3 linked regions of the Ovis aries genome follow. The protein of the gene in region 1 interacts with the protein of each later gene in a pairwise test. Links are inferred from orthologs where the notes say so. Each region holds a gene or a part of one and is shown in the gene's direction. Other genes may lie near its edges. The genes, in order: TCAP, TTC19 and TRIM55.

Region 1 (3,086 bases):
CTCACCTCCTCTCTCTGCCCGTCACACTTGGGACCACCAGGAAATGGCCCTCCTTCCCTCCCTGCAGGCTTCCTGAGGTGCTAACTTGCATAGACTCAGGGGTGGGGGTGTTGCCTCTTGGGCCCGGCTAGGCATGTGACCCCGGGCAGGTCTGCCTGCCTGAGCCTCCATTTCCCACTTTGCTAAAGCTGTGTAAGATGAAGGCACCAAGGATCGGGTATAGTGCTCAGTAATCAAGAGGGTGCCCACGGGCCTGCCTGCTAGGGTCTCATCACAGCCTCTGCCCCTGGCCTTCCTGGTGCCCTTTGCTTTGTCCACTCAGTGACACCCCCGCTGCTCCTCCCCCACGCCCTCCTCCCTGTGTGCCAGCCTCCTGTCGCACACACTGCTGCTCTGGGGGGCGGGGCTGTCCCTGCAAGCCCTTCAACTGGCCTGCTCCCTGGGGACCAGAGCCAGGCCCCGCCTGGTGGCACCTTGGAGCTGGCAGCCCCCAGAGCTCTTCTGGTAAGGCCACTGTGAACAGAAAGTGAGGAAAACGAGGCCCAGAGGGGGTGGATGCCGCCCCCTACTCCACAGCCTCATTATGGCTGATTTGGGGGCTGGAGCCAGAACTGGCTGCCACCCACTGGAACCGCTGGAGTCCCATCTCACCCCAGCTGAGGAGTGGGGTAGAGTCGGGGGCCGCTTCCCTCCTCGTTCGTGTCCAGGATCCCAGGGGTGGAATTAACTTCCGATGCCCTTGCCAGTGAGGTGGTGGCAGTTGGGAGCCAGGCCTTTGGGGGCAGACGCCTGAGGAATGGCACTGTCCCTTTTGGTGGGGGGGCACGGTCCAGGGGGTGATGTGCCCTTGAGCCCAGGCAGAGGAGAGCAGCGGGGACAGGACCTGACGGCCTGGTACAGCGCCCAGAGGGGCCCTTGGTTCCTACTGTTTCCCGCTCTGTTTACAGACATGTCCTCCCTGGGCGAGGGGAAGGGGTGGGGCAGACGGCAAGTGCCAAGGTGGCACGAGGCTGGGCATGTGCCTGGTCATGGGTAGTGTCTTGAGGAGTGTCAGACACCTGGAGGTGTCACTCTGGGGACCCCCGCCCCCACGGGAGCATCTTGATCTCCTCAGAAGCTGACCTCTGACCTGGGGGCAGCCAGAATCCGGGTACCCCCCCCCCAGCCCCGCCCTGGGCTCAGAGTCCCCCATCAGTGAGTCTTGGCTCTGCTTATAGCATCTGACGCCAGAGGGGCTGAAAATAGCCCCTGAAAGAGGGGGAGGAGGGGGATATTTAAAGGGCCTGGGAGGAGGAGAGCCCAGAGGGAGTGAGCAGCCATCATGGCCACTTCAGAGCTGAGCTGCCAGCTGTCGGAGGAGAACTGTGAGCGCCGAGAGGCCTTCTGGGCGGAGTGGAAGGATCTGACGCTGTCCACAAGGCCTGAGGAGGGGTGAGTGCTGGCCAGTCAGGAGTGCCCCGTCCTCTCCCTCAGAGCACCCTTCCTGAGACTCAGGAGACCAGAGCACAAGGCCTGAGGGGTTCTGGGGGTGGGGCCCAGGAGGGTGCCTGCTGGGGAAAGTGGAGTCGCCCCTCCAGCAGCCCCAGGGAGCTCTGTCGCCCCGCCGGTGAGTGGCGGGCAGCAGCTCTCAGGGGCTGAGTGTCCCTCCGCTTCTCCTTCCCAGTTGCTCCCTGCATGAGGAGGATGCCCAGCGCCATGAGACCTACCACCGGCAGGGGCAGTGCCAGGCGCTGGTGCAGCGTTCCCCCTGGCTGGTGATGCGGATGGGCATCCTCGGCCGTGGGCTGCAGGAATACCAGCTGCCCTACCAGCGGGTGCTGCCTCTGCCCATCTTCACTCCCGCCAAGGTGGGCGCCACCAAGGAGGAGCGCGAGGAGACACCCATCCAGCTGCAGGAGCTGCTGGCACTGGAAACAGCCCTGGGAGGCCAGTGTGTGGACCGCCAGGACGTGGCCGAGATCACCAAGCAGCTGCCTCCCGTGGTGCCTGTCAGCAAGCCCGGCACCCTTCGTCGCTCCCTGTCTCGCTCCATGTCTCAGGAAGCACAGAGAGGCTGAGAGGGACTGTGACTTGGGCTCCACTGTGCCTGCCCTGGGCTGGGCCCTTCCTGGCTAGGACCATGGAGGGGAGCTGCTGGTCACGGATGCTTCGTAGTTTGCCCAGAGTTGGGGGCTAGGGGAGGAGGGAGCCAGAGGCCAGGATGCCTGGATCTCCTGAGTTCCCGGAGGGAGGGGAGCGGACGATGGGCACAAAAGGTGAAGAGCTGGGGGCCAGCACAGCCAAGTACCCCCAGCCCTAGGAGGAAGGGCTGAAGAAGCTGATGAGGGCAAGAGGTTCCTGAGAGGAGTAACCCCAGTCCAGATTTCAGCTTCAGAAAAGGATGAAGAAAAACTGTAAGAGGATCTGGAGTGCTCTGGGAAGGAGACTGGAGGGAGGGGGACGTGAAGAGGGCAGAGGCAGGGTGGAGCCCCCAGCACCCTCTGTTAGTGCTGCAATAAATGCTCAATCACGTGCCAGAGTTTCGTCTCTTTCCTTGTGGTTGAGGGGCCCACCCATTGGTGTCCCCCCCAGTGCTCACTTCTGGGAACAGGCCCTGCATCTCAGCTAAATATGGCAGAATTAGTGGGTCACCCCATGCTTGAGGGGAGGGGCTGTAGGGACAGAGCTGTAAACAGGGTGGCTATCTGCCTAGTCCCCCTGACTGCCGTGAGCCCTGGCCTCTGCCTCTAGTCCTCTGGCACTGTGCAGTGCCCAGGAGGCCAGTTGGCATCCAGAGTTTATTGAAATGATCTCATGGAGAATAAGGAGGGGGCTGGCACCAGGACTGTCAGCTGTGCCAGGGTGTGGATGGGGTCAGTGACCCCAGGTCTCTTGGTTCTGAATCCAGACAGAATCAATCCTTGGCTGGGGTCAGGTGTTCCACCCTCCGTGGCCTGGGAGCCCAAGGTGGGTTGTTGGGGGTAGGGTGAGTGTGTAGAGGGTCAGGTTCCTGTCTGTGACCTCTGCAGCTGTTGCAGTAACTCATGCCCCAACCTGGCTGCCCGGCCTAACTAGAAGACAGTTTCTCTTGGACAAGGTGTGGGGGG
Region 2 (4,420 bases), about 6.5 Mb from region 1:
GAAAAAGAAAACTGTACAGTATACAAAACATTAAGGCTCAAAGTAGGTAAAGGGAATTCCCTAGACAGTAATGGTGGGGGAGATCTCAGGAGAGCACCCTGGAAGCTCTAGAAGAAAATGAAATGGACAAAACACCTCAGCATCTTGAGTAGAGGATTCAGAACACTGCTAAGAGTTTGAAGTTGAATTATGGATGTGTGTGTGTTTGTGTTAGCCACTTAGTCATGTTTGACTCTTTTCGACCCTATGGACTGTAGCCCGCCAGGCTCCTGTCCATGGAATTCTCCAGGCAGGACTACTGGAGTGGGTTGCCATTTCTTTCTCTAGGGGATCTTCCTGACCCAGGGATCAAACCTGGGTCTCCTACATTGCTGGCAGATTCCTTACCATCTGAGCTAAAAGGAAGTTATTGAATTAGGGATAAACATATAGAAAAGTAAACAACCAAACAAATGCAATCATGACAGTTTTGAGAGGAAGCAAAAAGTTACAGTAAAGAAGTAGTCATCACTTACTACATGGCTCAGCTGTGACTATATTTTACATCATATAAGTGTAAACTCAGAATACTGATCTAAAGAAAATTATCGTCGAAGGAGGGGGCTCAGGAAGAGTGTATGACTGTCTAAGAACAAAGATTTTTAACTAGAAGAAAATGGCTCTGAAAAACGTGAATCGGTGATAGTAGTCTCTATGAGCCCCAAGCCTCAGGGGCGCCCCCTTCAAGACTCTCACACTGTGCTCTTCACACACAACCCTTTCTGGCAACCACTGTTTGAGCTGTCAACAGACTGGTTTCTCCCCCAAGCTTTTTGGGATTAGAGGATGTTCGAATACCTGGCTCGCCTCATCTTTTAAGCACATGTACTGCTTTAGATTTAACTGAAATGAGAAAAGTTGGCTTCCTCCTCTCAATTCTTTAAAAAACAAGTCAAGGTAAATCCTTTTCAAAGTGCGGTCCTTTGCAAACAAACGCCGCCCAAGTGAACCAGCAAGGTTCACTGAAGCCTAACCGATGTTTTGGATGGTCATTCAGATGGCGGCGGTGGCGCCAGCTCTAACGGGGACGCGCTCTGGCCCCGTGCGCTTGCGGCCAGGGGAGTCTGGTCACAGAGCGTCCTCTGCTGGTCAGAGGAATAAAGGCACAGCCACAGCGTCCAGACCCCTCAAGTCCTGCATCTGGGGCCCTGAAACAGTCACTCGTGCACAGAGGTCAGGAGGGGAACCTTTTGGAACAAACACAGACCGCGGGAAGGAAGGGCTACAGGCGAGTTAAGAGGGCGGAGACCTCCCCAGTGGGCCCGGACCCCCGAACCCCGTCCCGCCGGCGCTGCTTCCCGCGCCCCCGCCCATACTCGGCGCGCCGTCCCGCACAGCCGCCGCCATCTCGCTCAGCAGCTCCTCCACCACAGCTGGTAACGTGAGAGGCCCAGTCGGAGCCGCCATGGCGGTCCCGCGTTCTCCGGGGCAGGGGAGGAAGGCGAGGTGACGTAGACTTGCGTCCCGGCGCATGCGGGCGGTCCGGCCAATCGGCGGGCGTTCGGCGCCAGGGGCGGGACTTCCGGAGCCCGTGGCCGCAGTGCGCAGAGGACGCTCTGGGGGCCATGTACCGGCGTCTGGCTGTGGGCCTGGCCCGAGGTCTGTTGCGGGTGGCGGAACGGCGGGGCCGCTGCTACCCGGTGTGCCTGCTGCCCGGGCCGCCGGGAGTTCGGGCGCCGCCGTGCCGAGGGGCGCCGCGCGGCCGAGGCTCGGGCCTACTGCCGCTGCTGGCAGGTGAGGGGTGCAGGCCGGCGGGCCGGGCGGGCCGGGCTGGTTGGGCTGAGCACGGTGACCTCAGTGCCCCTTCCTGCAGCGCTCGCCTGGTCCTCGAGGCCCGCGGCGGCGGAGCAGGAGCGACGGGGCGCGGGCGGGGCTGCAGCCGGGGACGCCGAAGCCGAGATCATCCAGCTGCTGAAGCGAGCCAAGGTGAGGGGCTGCAGCACGTCCCTCGACTACGGGGACCCGGGTGGACGGAGTCGTGGGGTCCGTGCGTTGGGCGCAGGTGGAGGCGGCGCTGCCGGTTGCGAGGTTGCGAGCGCGGGGAGAAGTGCGCACAGGCTGAGGGGAGCGAGGCGGGCCTCTTCTTCCTGAACGTTTTCCCCTCTTCCCGGGGTGCCGGGTCTCCTCCTTTGCGCTGACCGCCGCCTCATGCCCACCGCGTCCACCCGAGTGCCCGCACACGGCAGGTGCGGCCCGCATGCCAACTCTATTTGAGGCTTCAGCTGACCCAAACGAACCTGTGGTCTTAGGCACCCCTCCGACCCCTTCCCTCAGTACCTCTTCTTTTCTGTAGTCTGCCCCATTCTGAGAACTTGTGTGGTACCTACCTACCACCTCCCATATACCAAGAATCCAGCAACGAATTTTTGTATTTTGCCACCAAATCCAAAATCTCGAACCTGTCGCCTCTTCGGTGTCTCCTCCTGTCGCCCTGGCCACGCTGCCACAGCCTGCAGTCTTGTCTGCCCTGTTGCCCCCTGCCATCCAGGCTTGACAGCAACTGGATCATTTAAATGTAAATCAGCTGGTGTCATTCCGTGCCCACAAGCCTTGATTGACCCGTCACAGCGTTTGTGGTAGAACCCAGACTCCTTGCCCTGGCTGGTGAGACCTATGGTCCCACCCCATTGCCTCCCTACTTGGCAGTAACAGTCACCATCAGTTGACATCTGTTGACTTTCATTGTTTGAGTGGTTCTTGAAAGTCCGTTATCTTCAGTCTGTAGCACCTTCGCTCCTTCCCTGCTGTCTGTTTGGGTCAGTTTCCCCCATAGTTCCTTCCTTAGTTGGCTGTTTTTCTTTTTACCTCAATTTAACTGTCGCTTCCTTGGGCGGCTTCTCTTGACTCCATTTGAAGGAAACCCCTTGTTCCTTTCTCTTGCCTTTCTTCGCCTGTATCATTGGTTGTGATTGAGCCCCACCTGTCCTGCAGGAAGAGTGGAGGAGGATGTAGGGCCAGCAGCTCCGCTATAAGAGCTCGTGAAAAGTGCTCACAATCCTGCTGCCTATGTCAGCCAGTGTGCTATATCTGTGGCCATGCGGAGCTGCAGGGGAGCCCCTCTCCAGTCCCCACTGCAGACACCATGCCTTTGCAGAGCAGGGATTCAATAAGTGTTTGAGGAATGAATGACTAGCTTCCCTCTGTGTACTGGGACACGTAGCCCATACTCGCTTCTGTCTGGCGGTGCATGTCTCTGTTCTTTTCGTGTTTCAGTTTCTTTTATTTTGTTTTCTCTTTTCAGTTATGCATCATGAAAGATGAGCCAGAAGAGGCAGAGCTGATTTTGCATGATGCTCTTCATCTTGCCCACAAGAGTCACAACACGAAGGCCATTGCTTACACTTATGACTTGGTAACTCCTCTGACCAGTCTGAGCCGCCGCCAGTGGTGCAGGAGAAGGGCTGTTAGTGTTCCTGATTAGTATTCCTGACCTGCAGGATGTCTCTCTGGGTTTTGTTTTTACTAAGTTTTCTTTAGCTTTCCATTTTTATTACCCTTGAACTGTCACCTGTAAGAAACCTCAACCCCAGACCGAAAAGAAACAGTTAACATTAATATTTGTGTTCTCAGTGAAGAGTGGATCTAGAATTGTTATCATCAAAGTCTATGCACGTACTCTCACCCCATTGCTGAACTTTGCTTCTAGCAGATTAGCAACAGTTTCTGGACTGTTTTTTTAGATAGAAGGTGAAAGCAAAGGGGAGTTTTCAGTGTAAAGATTTTGAAGTAAGTGGAAACAATGCTTTAAACTGAAAAACAACTTATAATCTGCTTTCAGATGGCGAACTTAGCATTTATAAGGGGTCAGCTTGAAAATGTAAGTAAATCATGTTGTAATGTTGTGAATTTGTGAATGGCTAGCTTCAAGGGACCTCTGCACATAAGGGTACAGGCAAAGCTTCTGTAACAAAGAGACCCCAAGATAAAGTGACTGAAATAAGAAGGAAGCGTATCCCTTTAATGCATTAGTCCAGAGGCGGCTGAATCCTGAAGAGGGGTGGGCACTTCTACCCCATGAAGTGACCCAGGAGCCCACATTCCTTCTAAGATGTATTCTCGCCTGAGTACGAGCACTGGCTCACCTCCAGCTGTGGGCAGGGAGAGGATGGAGGGCCAGCAGCGTCCTTGTGAAGTACGCTGTTGAAGCTGTTTGTGTAAACTGCGTGCATCTCTTGGCCGCAGCCTCCTCATATGATTACACCTGAAATGCAAAGGAAGGACCCTTGACCTAGTGGAAACTGAGGAGACTGTACCAGAAAAGGGTAGTTTGCAGTCTCTGCCACAGTGGGTTTGGGTGGGAAGTTGATCTCTGAAGCTGGTTGTACACATCACAGAGTAGTAGTGTGGTTTTCAAGTAGTAGTAGTAGTTTTCAAGGTGCCC
Region 3 (3,645 bases), on another chromosome or scaffold:
TGTCTCAACTGCGAAGTGCCCACCTGCTCTCTGTGCAAGGTCTTTGGGGCGCACAAGGACTGCCAGGTGGCTCCCCTCACTCACGTGTTCCAGAGGCAGAAGGTAACACGCCCTCCTGCCCCTCCTCCAAAGCCCCTTCCAAGTGTGATTGAAGGAGAGATGCCCACAGGCAGGACCATAGGGCCCTGAGGCTGCAGGGGAGAGGAGGGCGTTGGCAGAGCTGGAAGGACTGCTGCATGCCCAGGAGAGTGGTGGGGAAGGTGGGAGAGGGAAGGGTGCAGAGGGTCAGGAAGGGGTGTGGAGGGGAAAGGTCGCTATTTTTCCACCATTACAGGTTTAAGATGAATACTATTATGGGGCCCAGTCCAAGCTCAAGCTGCTCAAACACTGAGGTTCAGCCCATAGGAAATAAAAGCATAACCTCTTGCTCCAGTCTCAGAATATTTTTCTATGTTTATCAACCAAAGATTCCTTTGGCCCTCCTCAAGGCCTCTTCTCTCCCACTCCTATCTCGTGGAGTTACGATGACTGGCATTTTGTTAAATGTTTCCTTAGGCTAGTCCTCATGCCTGGGTTAAACTGTCCCCCTAGGTCAGCCCAGAAGGCCTCCTTTGGGTCTGACACATGTACCCCCCACTCCAGGGCCTCAGCATCACCCCCTCATTATGAGCAAATATGGGGTCTCCCAGCTTATCGCTAACCTGCCAGCCTATAGCGCACAGGCAGGTAGGAACTTACCCATTTGATGCAAATGAACGAGGGGTTGTGGGCTCAGAGAGCTGTGGCCGAGTCTCAGCATCTAGGATTTGAGCAGCTCCACATCTCAGCTTCTTCCTCTAAGAATCACAGATTCCACAGTTAGTGTTTTACTGACCAAATATAGAACGGGAATCAAATTTGGAAGTCAAACCTTTGGGCAACTCCAGTTACAACCAGTGAGTACTAACTGCTAAAGCAGCAGGATTTAGCAAAATAGCTATACAGTTATTTTTTGTTCTATCCACTTATGACTTCCCTGCCTTTTCCTTTTACCTGCCCCTCCCCAAAGTCACAGCCTATTAGAACTGAATGGTACCTGGGTCACACCATTCCCCTCAGAGCCCTGAGACCACGAAGGATGGACAGAGGCAGGCTGACAGGACTTCCATCCTGCTCCTGTTTGGCCAGAGCAGCATTATTTGATCCACTGGGATTATATATTAGCTCCCATTTGGAAAAAGGGTTCTGCAGCTTTAAATGTTTTACAAACACTGTTCTGGTCCAGTCTTCTCACTTTATGTATGAGACAAGTAGGGTCCAAACTGATTACAGAGTTGCCCAACATCACAGAGAAGCTAAAAGGCAGAGTTGGACCAAGCATGTAGGTTTCCCGAGTCCCATTCATTCCCTAAGTCTGAACAGTGGAATCGCTTCAGATCAAAAGAGCCTGAGGGGAATTTTAAGCTAAAAAAAAATGTTTTCCCCTAGAAACAGTGCAATGTTAGTTTCAAATCTATAATGACTGAGTCTAGTATACGAGTATTTGTTTGCATTTAGTACAGAGAAGGGTGCATCACAGGTATTTGGTGAATAAATGAAATATTTCCCTAGTAAAACTAATCCTGAAGGCTTCCTGGTGGTCCAGTGGTTAAGAATCCACCTGCCAGTGCAGGAGACATGGGTTCGATCCCTATTAGGGAAGATCCCACATGTTGTGGAGCTACTAAGCCCATGTGCCACAACTACTCACGCTCTGCAACAAGAGAAGCCACTGCAATGAGAAGCCTGTGCCCCACAACAAAGAGTAGCCTGCACTCGTGGCAACTAGAGGAAGCCTGCATGCAGCAACAAAGACCCAACATAGCCAAAAATAAATATGTAAATCTTAAAAAAAAAAAAAACTGATCCTGAGCTGCACTATAATTCAAATAATTAAAGGTCCGAATAATTCATGTTGGACCCCTTGATGTCACATATTGGTCTCCATTCAATTTATAAACAGTTCTTAGAATTATTTAGCTTGAATGTGCTATTCGCTGTCTATGGCCTATAATTCAGTGTTCTTAATGTTTTTTGGAAGGGTCACCATCTTCATTAAGAATTTGATGAAAACTGTGAAACTTCTTCCCAGACAAATGCATTTATACACCGATCCTTCCAGGATTTTATTTATAAGATTAGGAGATTCTCAGACCTCCCAGCCTCACTGTTCCTCATTAGGGGGTTCTGTGGACCCTAAATTGAGAACTCATGAGAACAGTAGTACTAAGATGAACCCATAATCAGTGGAGGACTAGAAAGCCCCTAAAATCTTGAATCCCTCTTTTCTCTCCATTAGTCCGAGCTCAGTGATGGCATTGCTGTCCTAGTGGGAAGCAACGATCGGGTCCAGGGGGTGATCAGCCAGCTGGAGAGCACCTGTAAGACGATTGAGGTGAGTCAAGTGGCTTCAAGGGAAGGTAAGCCACGCATAAGCTCTTGGGGTTTTGTGGTTCCCTTGACATAACCGTAGAAATCCCTGCTCCAACATTTCAGTCTTTCCTTATAGAATGACCTCCCTTCTGCATGCGTGCATGCTAAGTTGCTTCAGTCATGTTCAACTCTTTGTGACCCTATGACCATAGCTCACTAGGCTCCTTTGTCCATGGGATTTTCTAGGCAGTGGTTGCCTTGCTCTCTTCCATGGGATCTTCCTGACCCATGGATTGAACCCACATCTCTTATGTCTCCTGCATTGCAGGTGGGTTCTTTATCACTAGAGCCACCTGGGCAGCCCAACCTCCTTCCTGATGTGTCTCTAAAATATTCACCTCCTGGCACAGGAAGAGAACAAGGCAGATTTTACCACATTGATCAAGGTGGTGGTTACATTCGGTGGTGTTTCTTGGGAAACCCCATTTTAAAGGGTTAGCTACAAGAAATATCAATTTGGGGACTTCCCTGGTAGTCCAGTGGTTAAGACTCTGAACTTCTAATGCAGGGGTTCTGAGTTCAATCCCTGTCCAAGCACTAAGATCTCACATGCCACATGGCATGGCCAAATTTAAAATAAAAAATCATTTTCCAAGTAATGACAATGAGTGTTGTTAAAGCAAAAAATTTTTGTGGGAATCCAAATGGTCTTAAGAAATGCTATTTGGCACTTAAGAAAAGTCGTGTGCAGATTTGAGCTGCATGGTGTTGTTGTTCAGTCTCTAAGTCGTATCCGATGTTTGCAACCCCATTGACTCTAGCCCACTGGGCTTCTCTGTCCAAGGGATTTCGCAGGCAAGAGTGCTAGAGTGGGTTGCCATTTCCTTCTCCAGGGAATCTTCCTGACCCAGGTACTGAACCTGTGTCTCCTGCATTGGCAGACAGATTCTTTACTGCTGAGCCACCAGTGAAGCCCAGTGTTCCATTTACCTGTATTCTTACAAAATGTGTATTGCTATCTGCATGTCTTTTAATTTTATAAATGGTATTGTGTTGTACTTCTCATTCTGCTTAATTTTTTTAAAATTAAACATTATGCTTTAAGATCCATTCACATGTACATTCATTCCTTCAGTTTTCTCCTGGGAAAATGGAACTAAGTATCCATTTTATAGAGTTTAACCATGAAAAGTTAAGTAAGTATAAGCATAATGCTTAGCACAGTGCCTGGCATATGGAGAGTGCCTGATAAAT

The links.
Region 2: the proteins of TCAP (region 1) and TTC19 interact in binary tests that used the Homo sapiens proteins (3 or more experiments, as listed by UniProt). The link is inferred for Ovis aries from reciprocal best matches to the Homo sapiens genes TCAP and TTC19.
Region 3: the proteins of TCAP (region 1) and TRIM55 interact in a two-hybrid assay, tested with the Homo sapiens proteins (2 studies listed by BioGRID and IntAct). The link is inferred for Ovis aries from reciprocal best matches to the Homo sapiens genes TCAP and TRIM55.

Annotation. Positions count from the first base shown.
Region 1 is NC_056064.1:39,784,984-39,788,069, forward strand, and holds TCAP (telethonin), read left to right. Parts: upstream 1-1,301; 5' UTR 1,302-1,321; coding exon 1,322-1,431; intron 1,432-1,663; coding exon 1,664-2,057; 3' UTR 2,058-2,518; downstream 2,519-3,086. UniProt on the Homo sapiens protein: Muscle assembly regulating factor. Mediates the antiparallel assembly of titin (TTN) molecules at the sarcomeric Z-disk.
Region 2 is NC_056064.1:33,235,561-33,239,980, reverse strand, and holds the start of TTC19 (tetratricopeptide repeat protein 19, mitochondrial), read left to right. Parts: upstream 1-1,554; 5' UTR 1,555-1,604; coding exon 1,605-1,773; intron 1,774-1,852; coding exon 1,853-1,965; intron 1,966-3,280; coding exon 3,281-3,391; intron 3,392-3,817; coding exon 3,818-3,856; intron 3,857-4,420. Other genes in the region: ZSWIM7 (zinc finger SWIM domain-containing protein 7), read right to left, coding at 1,356-1,446. UniProt on the Homo sapiens protein: Required for the preservation of the structural and functional integrity of mitochondrial respiratory complex III by allowing the physiological turnover of the Rieske protein UQCRFS1.
Region 3 is NC_056062.1:43,457,828-43,461,472, forward strand, and holds part of TRIM55 (tripartite motif-containing protein 55), read left to right. Parts: coding exon 1-102; intron 103-2,317; coding exon 2,318-2,413; intron 2,414-3,645. UniProt on the Homo sapiens protein: E3 ubiquitin ligase that plays an important role in regulating cardiac development and contractility, muscle growth, metabolism, and fiber-type differentiation.